Linked DNA regions of Oryzias latipes. The protein of the gene in region 1 purifies or fractionates together with the protein of each later gene. This does not show direct contact. Links are inferred from orthologs where the notes say so. Each region holds a gene or a part of one and is shown on either strand. Other genes may lie near its edges.

Region 1 (7,783 bases):
CTCATAGTTGTGAACCAGCAGTCACCAACCCAGGTTCGGCCCAAAGTCATTAGTCTCTCAGATGGGACTTCTTTGACCCCCACATGGCCAGCATTCCATTTCTGTGGGTCCAATCGGGATGGTTTTTCAGGGGGCCACATTGTCCCGCTTATGCGGTCCCGTTCCTGTTTCCTTGGTTGTCCGGGCAGTCACGAATCAAGTGCCCAGGTTTCCCACAACCCCAGGAGGTCCTGGGTCAGCTCCAGTCTCTTTGGGGGCGGACCTTGGATGCCTGTTCGTTTCTCAGGGTCACAGCTTTTACTAGCTGGGTCAGCTCCTCTGCCCGTGCAGGCCCCTTGGTGTCAGGCTCTGATACACTTGCAGCTCTAACCTTTGGAGGGGCCTCAAGCTCCACCCTGGAGGAGGGCCTCCACAGCATTTTTCTCTCTGTGGCCAGCTCCAGGGCCTCCTGCAGTAACTTACGGTGCGCTGGTTGGGTTTGAACGCGAAGGTCGTCTGGTCCCGGGCTAGCTCTTCCTGAATGGCTGGGGGCATGTGAGCATAAATCTGGTTAACTAATCTGTCGATGTCAACAGCCAGAACTCTTAATTGCTCGCCTTGGCCGAAAGAGCTGCCCCGGTAATGCAATTGTAGCGTCCCTTTCCCACACACTGAGGCACGGAGACTTAATCTCTTAACCCTTGTGCTATTTTAGATGACCCCCCCCTTCCATTGAGGTGTTCTCCCTACCATGACAAAGGGGGATAAAGGTGGAAAGATTTCATGTAATCCATGGACACCAGTGAAGATCACAAATCATTGAAGAACAAAGGTTCAGAGCACTGTCTAGTGGGTCTAGATGACCCAACTCCCAACGTTAAAGTGCCTAGGATAGCACAAGGGTTAAGGTTATTTATTCTGGTTACTGTAGGCTGTAACCAATGCTGCACAACTTGCCCAGAAACTCTTGTATCCTCCCGCTGAGAGCACTCCCCCAAACTTTATTCCCTTGCTCCTGCATCAGCCCCATTTCCTTATTCGGGCCATAGCTGAACCCTATTGGACCAAACTCCCCAACTACAGGTTGAGCGACAGAACTGAGAGCCAATCAGCATTTCTGCTTGATGCGTTCAATGAACACCGGAACTTAGAACGCGACCCCACAGCCACCCAGTACACTGTGTTACATAATTTTTCACCACACTGGTTTAAAAAAATAAAAGACCCTTTTGGGTTATGACAGGTTCTTAAAAAATATTTTCCAATAACAAGCAAAAAGAATTGAAAATTGTAATGAAAGCTCTTCCCTCAGGATTATTTCAACTAATGACCTCTCCCCGTAACCCTTGTGCTATCTTAGGCACTTTACCGTTGGGAGTTGGGTCATCTAGACCCACTAGACAGTGCTCTGAACCTTTTTTCTTCAATGATTTGTGATCTTCACTGGTGTCCATGGATTACATAGCGCACCTCACTCCACTCCGTGCTGAAAACAAATCCACACACACACACAAGAAAAACGTGCCAAAGAAACTTCCACTACACACTAAAAAGGAAATAAATACAGTGAGGAAGACGCTGCCACAAGGGGCCCCTTCACCAACACCACACGCACTGGCGCCCGACTCACACCTATGCAACAATAAAAAGGAATCAGAGTCAACAACACAATAAATACAGCACCACTCTAAAACACATTAAAATGTATAATAAGGGTGGGTAAAGAACACGCAGTGGCTCATGACATCTGCAACACGTCCAGCCGCTAACAGAATCTAGTTAAAAGAGCAGAATAAAAATGAGTAACCGGTGATCTACATTCTCCGACAAGAGGAGCTTCAGCCATACATACCACCATGCAGGCAGGCAGCCACTGTCTGTCAACTCACTCCCTGTTCCTTATAAAGAAGCAGAACAGCTGAACTACATCCCCAATCAAGCAGGCATGCACCTGTCACAGGCCGACCTGCCGGTTACTCAAGGGTGGGGACATAAGATAGCACAAGGGTTAAATATCACAAGGCATCTAAAAATAGACCCTCTATTGACAATTAATGATATTGATATTTTCAATAAAAAATGCTACAACAAACATATATTTACTACTTTATATGAAAAAAGAAGCATAACACCTAAAGGAGAAATTTATTGGAATAATATTTTAACTATCATTTGGACAAAAGCATAGTTACTGCCAGAAACATTTGGCATAAATAACAAAATTAAAGAAATACACAAATGAATTCTACATAACATTTACCCCACACTATGTTCATATTCAAATTCTCAAATATAGGAAATAACTGTAGCTTTTGTAATGATTTCCCAAAATCAGTTCTTCGCCTTTTCTGCCATTGTCAATTCTCCCTTAAATTCTGGATCCAATTGAAAAGATTTATAAGCATGAACAGTACTATTATTATATATTTCAAACACATTCTTACATATTTTAACTCGCAGGATCAATTGGTAGGAAATAGTATTGATTTGTTACTACTTCTATTTAAATAAGTGCTGAGTAAAAAAAACCAAAAAAACAATTTTACAGGATTTTTGATAGAGATTATCAATTTTACTAATATCTTCAAAAGATTATTACATTCAAGGCATAACACTGAAACAATATGAGCTTTTTTGCTTGATGAATAGTTCCCTCTACTGAGAAATACTTTAATATATTTTTATTTATTTTTGTTTTTAAATTTTCCTTTTTGCTAACGATGTCCCTGTTAATTTTATTTACATACTATAATTTATTCTTTATTTTTTAAGATAACATTGATTTTTGCCATCTGACGGTAAACTTGCCGATGTGATGTTTACTGTTGTATAAATAAAGTTTCAAAAAAAGAAAAAAGTCATTTTCTCCTGTCTAGGGTTGACCACGTGGGGAGGTCTGTCTTTTTTGCGCATGCGTAGAGGTTGTCACTGATTTTTCAAATCGGACGGCGGGTACCAGTTTCAGCCTTCAGTGCAGCAAGAAGCCCGACGTTTCTTTTCAACGGTTGATTGTCATTTCATGAAATGACGAGTACTTTAAAAGGAATCACCCTTAAAGGAAGCGCGGAGCTGGTGGCCGAGTTTTTCTGTATGTTTCAACATTTGTTTCTGTACTAGCCGGGCTTTTCAACGGCTCTTCCTCATTTGTTGTGTGCTAGCGGGCGGTCGGGCCCGCGTGCTCGGTTGTTGTGTGTAGCCAGCGAGTGTATTTACGGCGGCTCCAGACCGAAGGCAGAGCCCTAAACCGTCGCAGCATTTTAAAAGCCTTCCTTCTGAAGCCAACTTCTTAAAGATCGAATGGCTGCTTCTGGTCGATGTGTAGGTTAATGGCGGCTTTCTAACACCGCCCACCGCCAGGTGTGCTGGTAAAGAAGCCGAGCGTCACCAGAGTTAAAGTAGGAATGCTAGATTTCGGGTTGAACAGACACAAACTACTTATCATCGGCTGAGTAACTAACGTAGAGTAGTGTGGACGAAAAGAGTGTTCTCAGTCTTTGACCTGAATTAACGTCACAACCCCCCCCCCGCTAATAACAGCCCCGTGATCCTCCCCACAGCCTTCGGCATCAACAGCATCCTGTACCAGCGGGGCATTTACCCCCCAGAGACGTTCACCAGGGTCACTCACTATGACATGAGCCTCCAGGTCTCCACGGAGCCCAGGCTGAACAACTACCTGACCAACGTGGTGTCTCAACTCAAAGGTAGTTTGTCCTTTCTTTGTCCTAAAGCAGGCCGTGTCTGTTAGGACTTTATTTTTCTATTTCTTAACATGGAGGCAATGATCAAGATGCAATTCCTGTCTGTCAGCGTCCAGCAAAGGCTTATTGAAGACAAGAGGCGTGGGATATTGTTTCTCTTTACAGATTTATGGGATATGGAGGTGGATGTTGGGATGATTGACACCTCATGTTGTTTCCACGTGTCGATGTGCCTAAATAGTGATGTTTTCCTGCCCAAAAGTCCTCTAAAAGCCCAAAGAGTTCATCATAATTTAGGGTCAGACGCAACATTGAAGAATTTACACAGATTTCTCAAAGTCATTACAGAAATGATGAAATGCATAGATTAAAACCGTAAGTCACATTTGCTTGATTGAATGAGACACAAACTTGTCTTTGTGGTTCTTGTCAGTTTGGTCTTGAAGTTCCTGCATCCCCTCACTTTGTTCCTCCTTCATTTTCTAAGAACTCTTTTGTGTTGTTTGGTATTGAATGGTAACGATTTCCCACTGGCTCTGAATAGAAGTTAAAACACAACAAGATCATACAGTTTTAGAAGTCTGGATTGATCAAATTGTTTGTATGATCAGGATATCCGGCTTTATGTTCAGTTCTGACGGCTCATTTTTGAAGTAAACAGAGGATGTAGTGAACTCTTAGAATCAGTCCCCCAAATTTCTACACAGTCGGTCAAATATGGTAAAATTAAGGAGCAGTGTAATAAATATCTACTGTCGTATTTTAATATGTTTAGATTTACTTATGATGGAAATACTTTTGGAGACTTTATTTTGTGTGTGTCTGATGTGAGGCTTTAACTTAGTTTGTCATCGATAAAAACGCCTGAGAATCTGAATTCTGTAACACTTTAAATTAAGACATTTATTTTAATTGAGACATCGGTATTGGTGTAGTAGTTAGCAAAATATGTCACACTAGTTTTATCTGGGTTAAAGGAGGATTTGTCGTCAGCCATGATTTTATTTTGTGTGACCCTTGTTCTATCCTAGGCACTTTAACGTTGGGAGTTGGGTCATCTAGACCCACTAGACAGTGCTCTGAACCTTTTTTCTTCAATGATTTGTGATCTTCACTGGTGTCCATGGATTCCATGACATCTTTCCACCTTTATCCACCTTTGTCATGGTAGGAATAACACATCCATGTAAGGGTGGGGTCATCTAAGACAGCACAAGGGTTAACTCTATGTTCACCACATTAAGTTCCCTATGATTGTTTGTAGAATGGAATAGAATAGATCTGTCATCAGCAAATAATGAGTTTTAATAGTTGTGAGACATTGAATATATCATTTATGTAAATACTGAATAGCAGCGGGCCCAGAATTGATCCTTGTGGGACACCACAAGCTATCTATCAAGAATCAGCAGAAAATTAGCATCCTGAAGACGTTTGTGTAGCTCGGTTCGTGTGTTGGTGGTGTTGAAACAGCAGGAATAGGTTTTTCTTGTGTCATGTTAGAACAGGCTTGTTTTCCAGATGGACACACCTGGTCCAGGTAAAACGGGACGGTGATCTGCAAATCTCTGAGCCTGGACTTACCTGGTCTGCGTGTTAGGCCTTAAAGCAGGCGTGTAACGCGGGTTTGGGTTTCAGAATGGCTGTTTGAGTGCAGCGTGCAGAAGCTGGTGCTGGTCATCACCTGCCTGGAGACCAACGAGGTGCTGGAGCGATGGCAGTTTGACATCGAGTGTGACAAGTCGGCCAAAGAGAGCAGGTGAGCCCGCTCTCCAGTTCCAAATGTCTCAAGAGGAAAGGAGCTTCTCCAGGGGCTGGCTATCCCACCACCGCTAGCGTGATCCGCGGCGCGCTGTGGCGTGGACGAGAAGCGCATTTCTTCACATAGGCGTGTTCTGAAGCAGAGTTTACATTTAAATGTAGGTCAAGGCTAGAAAACCCATGTTGTGTGTTTCTCTAGCGCTGGCAGCTAAATGCTAACGTAGAAGATATGCAGCTATTGATGACGCCATCCAGGACTGGTAATGTTCAAATGTTTCCATAACTGCTGGAGGGGGGATGGGCAGGAGCTGGGAGGAATTGGGATTCGGTTTAAACCTTAAAAAAGGTTTTCTGTGGGGTTGGGACTCGGCATGTACTCCAAATCAGGTTCTCATTCTGAGGGAGCAAACGTTTCTGTGGTTTTTATTTCAGGCTGCTGCTCTGCCGTCCAAATAGCTACAATGACTGAGTTTATGGAGAAAAGTGTCTTCAAATCCGGACGTTACAACCGCTCCACAACGTCATGAATAGTAGTCGGTCTGCTGCGTTAGCGCTCAGAAAATACACATCATGGGTTTTATTTAAAAAGTCACGCATAAACAAAGTCATGACTTACATTTAAATGTAAACGTCTGTGCTTCAGCGCACACCCACGTGAGGAAATGCGTTTCTCCTCAACGCCACAGCGTGACGCGGATCGTCCTACCAGCAATCCACCACGGCTCCTCCTTTGAATCACTGTGGGACACCACTACAGCTCCAAAATGCCCCTTCAGCTGGAGCCAGAGGGGTAGGGGGGCAGTCCAGCCTTTGTTTCTGTGTGCTGACCTCTGACTCTGATCCTTTCAAAGCAGTGCTCCCAGAGAGAAGTCCATCAAGACCATTCAGGATGAGATCCGCTCCGTCATCAGACAGATCACGGCCACCGTCACCTTCCTGCCTCTGCTGGAGACGCAGTGTGAGTTCCCATAATCCATCTGTGACTCCTGCAGCTCCTCCCTGCTCGGCCGGCCCTCTGATTAGTTGTTCTTGCAGGCTCCTTTGACCTCCTGGTGTATACGGACAAAGACTTGGTGGTTCCTGACAAGTGGGAAGAGTCGGGGCCTCAGATAATCGACCAATCAGAGGAGGTGCGCTTGCGCTCCTTCACCACCTCTATCCACAAAGTGAGCAGCATGGTGGCGTACAAAAGGACCGACTCGGCTTGCAGCACCTGAGCTGCAGACGTTTACTCTGAGCTCATGAGGAACTCCTGCTTTCCTGGACTGGACTTTCTTCTTTGTTGGAGGATGAGGCGAACCTGTGCTCAGTGAGATCTGATGGAACTTTTTGTTAGTTTGTCTGTCCGATCTGTGTTTTCCTGATCTTTCTCCCCCTCAGAAGATGCTTTCGTTTTTTTACATCATTAAATTCTTTTCTCAGTGTGATTTGTGTTTTGTGCGGGGAGCATTTTTGATGCAACTCCCAGCATTCAGTGGGGGTGTAGATTTACGCGATGCATTGAGGGAATTTACAGCGGGAAAGAATCAGGTTCATGAGTGCTGCACCGTGGTCGTCCTGATCATGAGCTGGAGACGGGCGGGCCTGGCAGAACCGTAGGGTTCCTCACTGTACTGGGGGGGTCCGTCTGCTGAGTAGAAGACTAACCCATTTTAAGGTGAAATTCTACAACTTTTGATCAACTACTGAGCGAAAGTGAAACTTTCATAAAGTTATAAGTTCCTTAACCCTTGTGCTATCCTAGGCACTTTAGGCACAGAGCTCTGAACCTTTTTTCTGCAATGATTTGTGATCTTCACTGGTGTCCATGGATTACATGAAATCTTTCCACCTTTATCCCCCTTTTTCATGGTAGGGAGAACACCTCAATGGAAGGGGGGGGGGGGGGGGTCATCTGGACCCCATAGGAGAGCACAAGGGTTACATGAACAGGAGTCAGCCAGAGCCTCGGACACAGACGTGTTGGGCAGCAGATCTCCATCAGGCACCGGTTGTTTCAGTAAACGTGTAGACAAAGATCAAGTCGACAGTTTTCTTGGTCTCTGCTGCCATTGGCAAAAAAGACAAACACTGTTTTTAGTTATTTTAATATATTGAGATGGTTCTTTTATCACAAGACGCTGGAAAGATTCAGAACCATTTTCATCAGCAAATTCTTCAGACTGGTTCTGAAGAATCACCTGAGGAAAAAATAGATATTGTTTGTATCAAACGTCACCTCTAAGAACCATGTGCTCTCAACCAACCGTACAATATAGAAACTCTAATAAATACAAAATAAATATGCAATAGTTTAGACATTGTGAAAACTGTATAAAAGACTAAACGTTTTCGTGTTTGCT
Region 2 (7,497 bases), on another chromosome or scaffold:
TCTCCTAAAGGCTCCAGCATAGAGACCGGTCCTTCCGCTGCCTTCTTTTGTTCTTTTAGAGCTGCCTTTAAAGCCTCAATCTCCTGATCCCGCTCCTATGAAACATCCATACAGTGATTTTAGACACATGGGGGTTACCCTGACCCTCTATGAGGAAACAAAACCTATAACTGTTAAAAAAAAAAAAATAGAAAATCCAAGTCTGACCTCGAGCTCTCGGCTGTAGAATTTCTGCAGATGTTTCTGCAGGCAGGCGATCTTGTTTTCATACAGCTCTTCAATCAGACCTTTCTCAGTCTCTAGGGTTTCCCTAAAAGAAAGCAACTGCTAAGCACCTGAAGCCGTCTCAACAAAGAAAAACGTGTACTTATTGCATACTTTTACTTTTGAGTCACTGACACAAAAAAGAATCATGGATGTAATGTTTCTTTTGATAGTTTAAATTCAACTGACCCCAACTGACTTTTATTGACAACTAATTCTGATTGTTATTCAAAAAACACATACTTGAAACCTTCCTGCATGTTGGTGATGACTTCCATCATCTCAGAGACCACCTGCTCCCTCACGTTGGCCTCCAGAGCCACTTTCTCTTCACGCTGGCGCCGCACTTCTCGCTTTAGGACATCAATTGCTTGCAGCAAAGTCTTAAAAATGTAAAACATTTAAACTATTTAAAAATGGGAACAATTTTTCAGATATGAGATGTTCATCTTAAATATTCCATAACACTTGCAAAATGTTGTAACACTCAAAGTGAAATCAGATTTCTCAGAAGAAAATTACATCTTTTTTAAGGTCAGAGATAAAACAGAACACCAGGAATAGATCCAACACATTTACCTCAGTGTTTAACATGGTGATGTCTCCGTCTTCAACATCACTTTCTTCCTCTTCTTCCTCCATCACAGTGCTTTCGTTCCTGTTGGCCGTTTGCTCACGAAGCATGGACAGAATGTAGGCCACTCTGGTCTTAGTAGATGGGCCGTGGACGAGCTGCAAAAGAACGGTTTTATTTCATTTTTGTCCTTTTATGCAGTGCTAAACCAGTCCAGTTGTCGAGGTAAAGGACTCGTTTTCTGACCTGCGTCGCAATTGCAGAGAACTTGAGGACCTGAAGGGTTTCGTCGTAGGTGGAAGCACATGGGTTGATGTTGACCACCATGCAAGAGGTTCCCCGCCCACAGAAGAAGCCCTGCAGGACGCGCGTCAGTTTGCTGTCCCTAAAGGGTACCACTTGAGGTGGCCGTGATCTATTGACGGGATACAAAATACTTTGAATATCCCTCACTCAACAACTCAGCTCCCACATTTTGTTCTGCTCGGTCCAACCAAAGTGTCAGTTTTACACCTACTTGTTCTGGTTGTGCCTCAGGGCGCTGATACAGCGCCCCAGGGTCATAAGGGAGGTGTTGATGTTGGTGGCTTCCTTCATCCTTTCTCCAAGACGCTGCTCTTTGCAGCGTTCAGATCCGGCCAGATCACACACAGTCAGCCTGGAAAGTGCATGATCAAAACATGGCAGCGCCCAAAATAATGTCACTGAGTTTGAGCTTGCTGCAGCTGAACTTACTCGCTGATTTGCAAAGCTTGCCCTGGAACTGCATCGGGGTGGACGTGCAGAACGCGGATGGAAAAGATGCTGTGGCTGAATTCATGAATTAACCATTAGATATGCTACAAAAAGAATTCAAAACAGAAAACCTCTTGCTGGGGTCCTACCTTCTGCTGGAGTTTTGATTAAGATGAGTGCTGGCAAAGCTCTGGTTTCGACATCCAGCTTTTAAAACCTTCCAGGCTTCTTCTGCGCTCCGCACCTGGATCCAGGTAAGGTCTGTGGCGATGAAAGGGGAAGAAGAACTCAACGTTATGTATACATGTTATACAGTCAAACACAAAGCAGAGACTTGTTCCAGAGGACCAGCTGGTGTTACCTTTCACGTAGGGGTTGCCCTGCTTGTCGTCACTCAGCCGCAGTGTGATTCTTTTTCGGGACTGCAGGGAGAGTGAGGTATCCAGCAGGTCATACAGGAACTCATTGTAGATCTCGAAGTAGGACACCCAGATGGAAAACTGCACCCCTTCTTCCAGGTCGTCCCCTCCACTGAGAGAAAGGCTGTCCGGCTCCAAACACACACTGTCAGTGTCTGCAAAAAGAAAATTTGGTCTAATAGCAGGTGAATACGTTCTTACAGTGGGGGCCTGTAGGAAATGCCTCACTAGATCATATTACTTTCATCTAAAAATGACAGAACTTGTCAACACGTGGCTTTCCTCCTCACCTTCCAGTTGTGTAGTGATCTGAGTTGTGGAGGAAAGTCCTCCAACGCCGCTGTCCCAAACTGTGGTAGTCCCAGCTCGCCGAGACGTTAGATTTTCATCCTGTCAATAACGATAAACACCTCAAATTACGTGTCAAAATCTAAGTATAGCACCATTCTTTCCATTTCTATTTACCTCCTTGAGCAGAGAGTTTTTGCGAATTTCCTCCATCTTGACCTCACTTGAGTCGAGCTGCCTCACATCCTGAGACATCACAGGCTTCAGGTCCATGGCGCTGTAAAGGCGGCCCTGCAGCTTCCTGAACAGGGATACTAGAGCTCGAGGCAGGAGGCCTGCTTCCTGACCGCTGCCTGTAAAATGGCATTCAAAACTCAAATATGGGAGTAAAGGAACCAGATGCTGTGCTGAAAACATCTCAGGGAATGAATAAAATTGACCTTGGATGGTGTAGGTCTTTCCAGAGTTGGTGACACCATATGTATACAGAAGCCTGTTCTCTCCTTTAAGAACTTCATTTATCATTTTCTTCAGCGTGGCATCATAAAACTGTTGCTGCGTCGTTTCTGGACCAAAGATCTTTGGGAAAACAGGAGAAAACAGAAAATTGTGGATCCATCTTTTCTAGAGGTACCATACAGTGTTTGGTTATTTTACCTTGGAGAAACTGAATTTGTGAATGCTCTGAGTGACTCCCTTCTCTGCCGTCTTTGAATTCTGAGACTCTCTTGGAGCTTTGAGCAGCACGGTGGCATCATCTTGGACAGTCACACTGCCCTGAAAGAGGAGCAAAAATTAAGTGTAAAAAGCATCAAAACTGAAAACAACCACAAAAAAGTATTTGTGGAAATGACAACATAACTCACCTGCTCTTCGCCCTGTTCTTTCTCCAAGTCTGTAAGCGGTCGGATACGCAGGAAAACATTCACCTTCTCCATATTCCCTTCATCACAGATTCCAGATTTCTTTACTACTTTCTGAAAAAACACATGAATCAATGATTGCTGCCAAATTTATAGCTTTTTTTCCCTAATATTTTGATAAGTTTGACACTAAACACGCCAAAATTCAAAATATAAAAATAGGAAAAAACAAATTATTTTAACATTTTTGGTGCATAGCGGGAACAAAAACCTTGTGTTTGACCACTCCAAACTGCAAGATTCAGCAGATCCTCACCTGAGCTGCAACAGATGATCGAGGCTCCAGACCAGGAGAAATGACCGAGAGCTCAGGCAGACGCGGCCTGGTCAGGCATCCGTGCTCTGCTGCTGTGGACTCGAACACAGCCATCTCTTCCTCCTCGTCGGATGGACATCCATATGGAGAAGATAAAGAGAACGCCAACGCCATGTTTTCCTGTCACAAAACACACCACGTTCCCGTTATGAGTGTTGTTGGCACTCCCTAAATGAAATTTACAGAAGAATCTATTTTGTATTTATGCTAAACACACACTTACTTCAAATGTTACCTAACATAGCATACTTTGGGGAATTATTGGCACAACTTAACTTTTATTCCTTATATGTTTTGTCATGTCTTGAAAATTCAGGTTTTCAAAACAAAAACTTACCGATTAGCACAGGTCAGATTTAAATTCCTTCGCTTAGATCCCAATGTTTGAAATAGCCAACCTTTCTGTCTCACCTAAATTGTCTAAAGAATTAAACACTATCGAAATATCTGGTAAATCCTCTCCATGGGTTTTCAACTGCGGTTTTCTGGGCTACCGGGCTGTTTACTCCGCCTGAATGCGTTGAAATTTTTTGAACAATGCGCTGCTCTCCTCAGTTAGGTGCTGATTGGCTGCTTGAGGGCGTATGCTATGCTCCAATTGGCTGGAAGCAGAAGACACGGTGTTCAGTTAAAATACTTCCTTCTGAAACATAAACGAAACTTGTGAGTTCCTTTTTCGTTCCTGAAATAAAATGAAATAAAATAAAATAAAACTTGAAAGACAAACAGAAGAACAGTAAAGGCAAACCAACCAAAAAGATCGAAAGAAAGATCGAAATTTTTTGTGCACCGTTTCATTGTTTTTAATATTTATATTAATATTAATATTTTTACTCATTTGCTTTCATTTCCATAAAACAAAAACAAAATTTCACACACAATCTTAAAGGGAACTGAAAGAAGAAAACAAACTTTTTCACCCCCTGTTGCATAATTAGAAGAATAAAAAAATACAATAATTATTACATACTGTATTTAAACATAGCCTGCATATAATCTATAAAGAACATTGGTATTCTTGTGGTTTACATAAAAGCATTCAGCTTAAACACCATCAACCTAAAAAAGACATGAAGATAAATCATAGTAGCATTGAGAAAGAGTTTTTTGTACATACAATAAAGGAAGAAATACACAAAACACAACTGTGAGATATGCACACGGTCAACCAATAAAAATCTTTCCCAGGTCCAGTAATTTCATTCTTTCGTGGCATTAATGCTTTAAAAATGGACTTGGTTCTGTGAATTCTGGAGCCTTTGTTTTTGGACACTGTGCTGAACTCCGTAACAGAAGTAGATGATTAAGCCTAATAAAAAAAAAGACATAAAAGACATCACTAGTGGTTATTCTCATGCAAAACAATGTTTTGAGAAATGTTAAAGCAATATTCAAATTAGTGCAATATTCTTTTCATACCTACAGCCATCCACACTGAATAGCGAATCCAGGTGTCTGATCCAAGCTGAACCATGAGGTATACATTAATAAAAGTGCTAAGACTCGGAAGCAGGGGCACTAAAGGAACCTGCACACATCAAGGAGTGCAAGTGTTATGACAAACCCATGGATATGTGCGAGAATCATTTAGTGAGTTCTCAGTGACAGCTTTCATTTTCAGTTATTTTACTAAGCATGGTTAGTTAGCAGTTTCATCAAAGAATTTCCATCATGAAGAAAAAACAAAAACAAAAAAATGAGACATACCATAAAGGCAGCTTTCGATGTATTCTGTGGCTGTCTCCAGATAATTAGAACTGTGAGAACCAGCATAAGCACAAGCACAATGACACAAAGCAAACTCCACACCTGATGGGTGTGCAGGGCGGTGGCAGCCTCCAGAAGGAAAAGGCTTAAGATGACAGCTAAAAAAACTGCAACATAACATTAGTGTTTGATTAAAATAGCAATTAATATGGTGTTTAGTTTAATTTGAAAAATTACTTACTAGTAAAAAGAGTTAAAAGAGACACATTTTTTGATGTCCGGAATGTTGCTTGAGATGGAGGACTTAACACACCACTTATTGTGAAAGGCTCTGGTTTGCCTGTGATTGAATGTTCATTGAGGTCAACTTGGTACCTTTATGAGGAAGAGCATATTAAGATATGTAGTATTGCATTTAGCTCCAAGAAGTTTTATCCAAACTTTAGCAACAGTTCTGACAGTTATGGTTAGTAGTTTAAAACACAACCTTCATTGAAATGTATTTTCCTGATACACACAGAGAGCTGAATTTTTCATGACTAAATTTAATGTAAGCACCTTTTTCTAGAAAACGTAATAAAACCATACCTTAATATGAGTATGCAAACAGCAACAAGTGTGTAGGCAAAAAGCGTTCCAATCGACATCATATCAACTAGTGCCTTCAGGTCAAAGAGCAATGCCATAAAAGCTGCAAATATAAACAATAGGCATATAAACACACTTGCCTGTGACCTCATTTAATTAAAGTTAAATGTAGATTTAAAGGTTTAAACTTTATATCTGTAATTCTAAATAAATAAAGCAGTGTTTTGGAAAAGAAAAAAATACCAGAAAAGCAAAAGGTCTCAAGGGAAAGACTCCAGATTAGCCATACTTCTATTAAAACAATGGTTTATCTAGTTTATCTTGAAGTGTATTTCTATACTGAGTTTTGCATTTTAGCGCTAAGAAGAATAAAGCATAAATGTACTCGAGTCAGTAAAATGTCTGCGACTTCTCATTTTTGGACAAAGAGAGTTGTTGCAGGAAGCGTACAGCAGATTTCTGAACTGAAATGTGTTCATACTGCACACATTCATAAGATTCTTTCTAGTTAAAAAATTATATTCACAAACAGAAAGAAGGAATCTGTATTGTTCCGAATAAATTCTTGTCTTGTAATTTTAGCCAACTAAAGTTACAATGATCAAGTGAAAAGGCTTGAAAAGTTAATATTATTATGCAGTAGTTCTAAAAGTTTAAAGTGCCAGTAGTTTGGAAAGTTCAAATCCCAGCTTGTTTTATTTTCTCTGGAATTTACGTTAAGTTGTGGTGCTCATAGATAGTATGAATGATGCAAAAGGCATTTCATGGCTGATTGGTTAAAGAAAAACATCCTGCATCTCTATTAAAGTATATCTATGTGATCAGAGTTTTTACCTGCAACAATTCCTGAAGCCAGTGTAGCTATTACAGGACTTTGTCTGTTACTCATTTTACTGAGAGGTTTGAAGAGCAGCCCGTCCCTAGCCATGGCAAAGAGGACACGAGGCATCGGGAACATTGATCCCAGCAAACTGTAGAAGATATATCAAATCCTTTATTTAAACTCTATCACTTATTATCTCATTTTTTGAAAAAGTAATATGTTATGAATAGGCTTGATTTAATATGTATTATCTATTAACTGGGAACTTTAAATTAAAGTCTATTAAAGCACAATAAGCGTATCTGAAAGAGAAAAATTAAAAACCAAAACTAATACATTTACTGTGTTTCTAACCTTGTCGACAGAGCACAAAGGGATCCAACAGCCACTGCATACTTTGCTGGGCCCCAGCCAACGTATGAGAATGCCACAGGCAGTGGGCTGTGAAGGCTGAGTAAACAGTAGGGCATCATGAGAGTCAAAGCAGCAGACACACCAAAATAAGCCAGGAAGCAGATGAGAAGGGATGCCACTATACCAAGTGGAATTGACTTCTGAGGGTTCTGAACTTCCTCCCCTTCAGACAAACAAAAATTTCATTTATTATTTAAAGAGTTATATACTTTAAAAAAAGGTTCACTATGTTAGAAATAATTTATTTTATATACCTTTTGTTAAAAAGAAATACAAAGGGAATGAATAAAACAAGAAACCATTCCAAAGGACGTCATCCAGGAGTGGGCCAGTCTATCCCCAAGCTGACTGAGATGGTCAGAAAACTCCTCAGTTGGGGCGGATGAGGTTCATCCTGAGTACCTCAAGTCTCTGGAAGTCATGTGACTCTTTTGGGTGACAGGACT

The links.
Region 2: the proteins of mad2l1 (region 1) and kif20a purify together in Homo sapiens (affinity purification with mass spectrometry; 4 studies listed by BioGRID and IntAct, with this or other methods). This does not show direct contact. The link is inferred for Oryzias latipes from reciprocal best matches to the Homo sapiens genes MAD2L1 and KIF20A.

Annotation. Positions count from the first base shown.
Region 1 is NC_019876.2:30,699,994-30,707,776, reverse strand, and holds mad2l1 (mitotic spindle assembly checkpoint protein MAD2A), read left to right. Parts: upstream 1-2,882; 5' UTR 2,883-3,003; coding exon 3,004-3,067; intron 3,068-3,536; coding exon 3,537-3,683; intron 3,684-5,318; coding exon 5,319-5,439; intron 5,440-6,292; coding exon of another isoform or gene 6,293-6,295; coding exon 6,296-6,399; intron 6,400-6,476; coding exon 6,477-6,658; 3' UTR 6,659-6,868; downstream 6,869-7,783. UniProt on the Homo sapiens protein: Component of the spindle-assembly checkpoint that prevents the onset of anaphase until all chromosomes are properly aligned at the metaphase plate.
Region 2 is NC_019872.2:14,181,317-14,188,813, reverse strand, and holds the start of kif20a (kinesin-like protein KIF20A), read right to left. Parts: upstream 4,083-7,497; 5' UTR 3,857-4,082; intron 3,640-3,856; 5' UTR 3,634-3,639; coding exon 3,460-3,633; intron 3,258-3,459; coding exon 3,147-3,257; intron 3,058-3,146; coding exon 2,938-3,057; intron 2,860-2,937; coding exon 2,721-2,859; intron 2,634-2,720; coding exon 2,458-2,633; intron 2,383-2,457; coding exon 2,283-2,382; intron 2,148-2,282; coding exon 1,935-2,147; intron 1,835-1,934; coding exon 1,723-1,834; intron 1,649-1,722; coding exon 1,574-1,648; intron 1,497-1,573; coding exon 1,356-1,496; intron 1,254-1,355; coding exon 1,085-1,253; intron 997-1,084; coding exon 844-996; intron 648-843; coding exon 508-647; intron 311-507; coding exon 208-310; intron 96-207; coding exon 1-95. Other genes in the region: cationic amino acid transporter 2-like, read right to left, coding at 4,743-4,828, 4,939-5,047, 5,227-5,393, 5,468-5,601, 5,815-5,917, 6,649-6,785, 6,992-7,214. UniProt on the Homo sapiens protein: Mitotic kinesin required for chromosome passenger complex (CPC)-mediated cytokinesis. Following phosphorylation by PLK1, involved in recruitment of PLK1 to the central spindle. Interacts with guanosine triphosphate (GTP)-bound forms of RAB6A and RAB6B.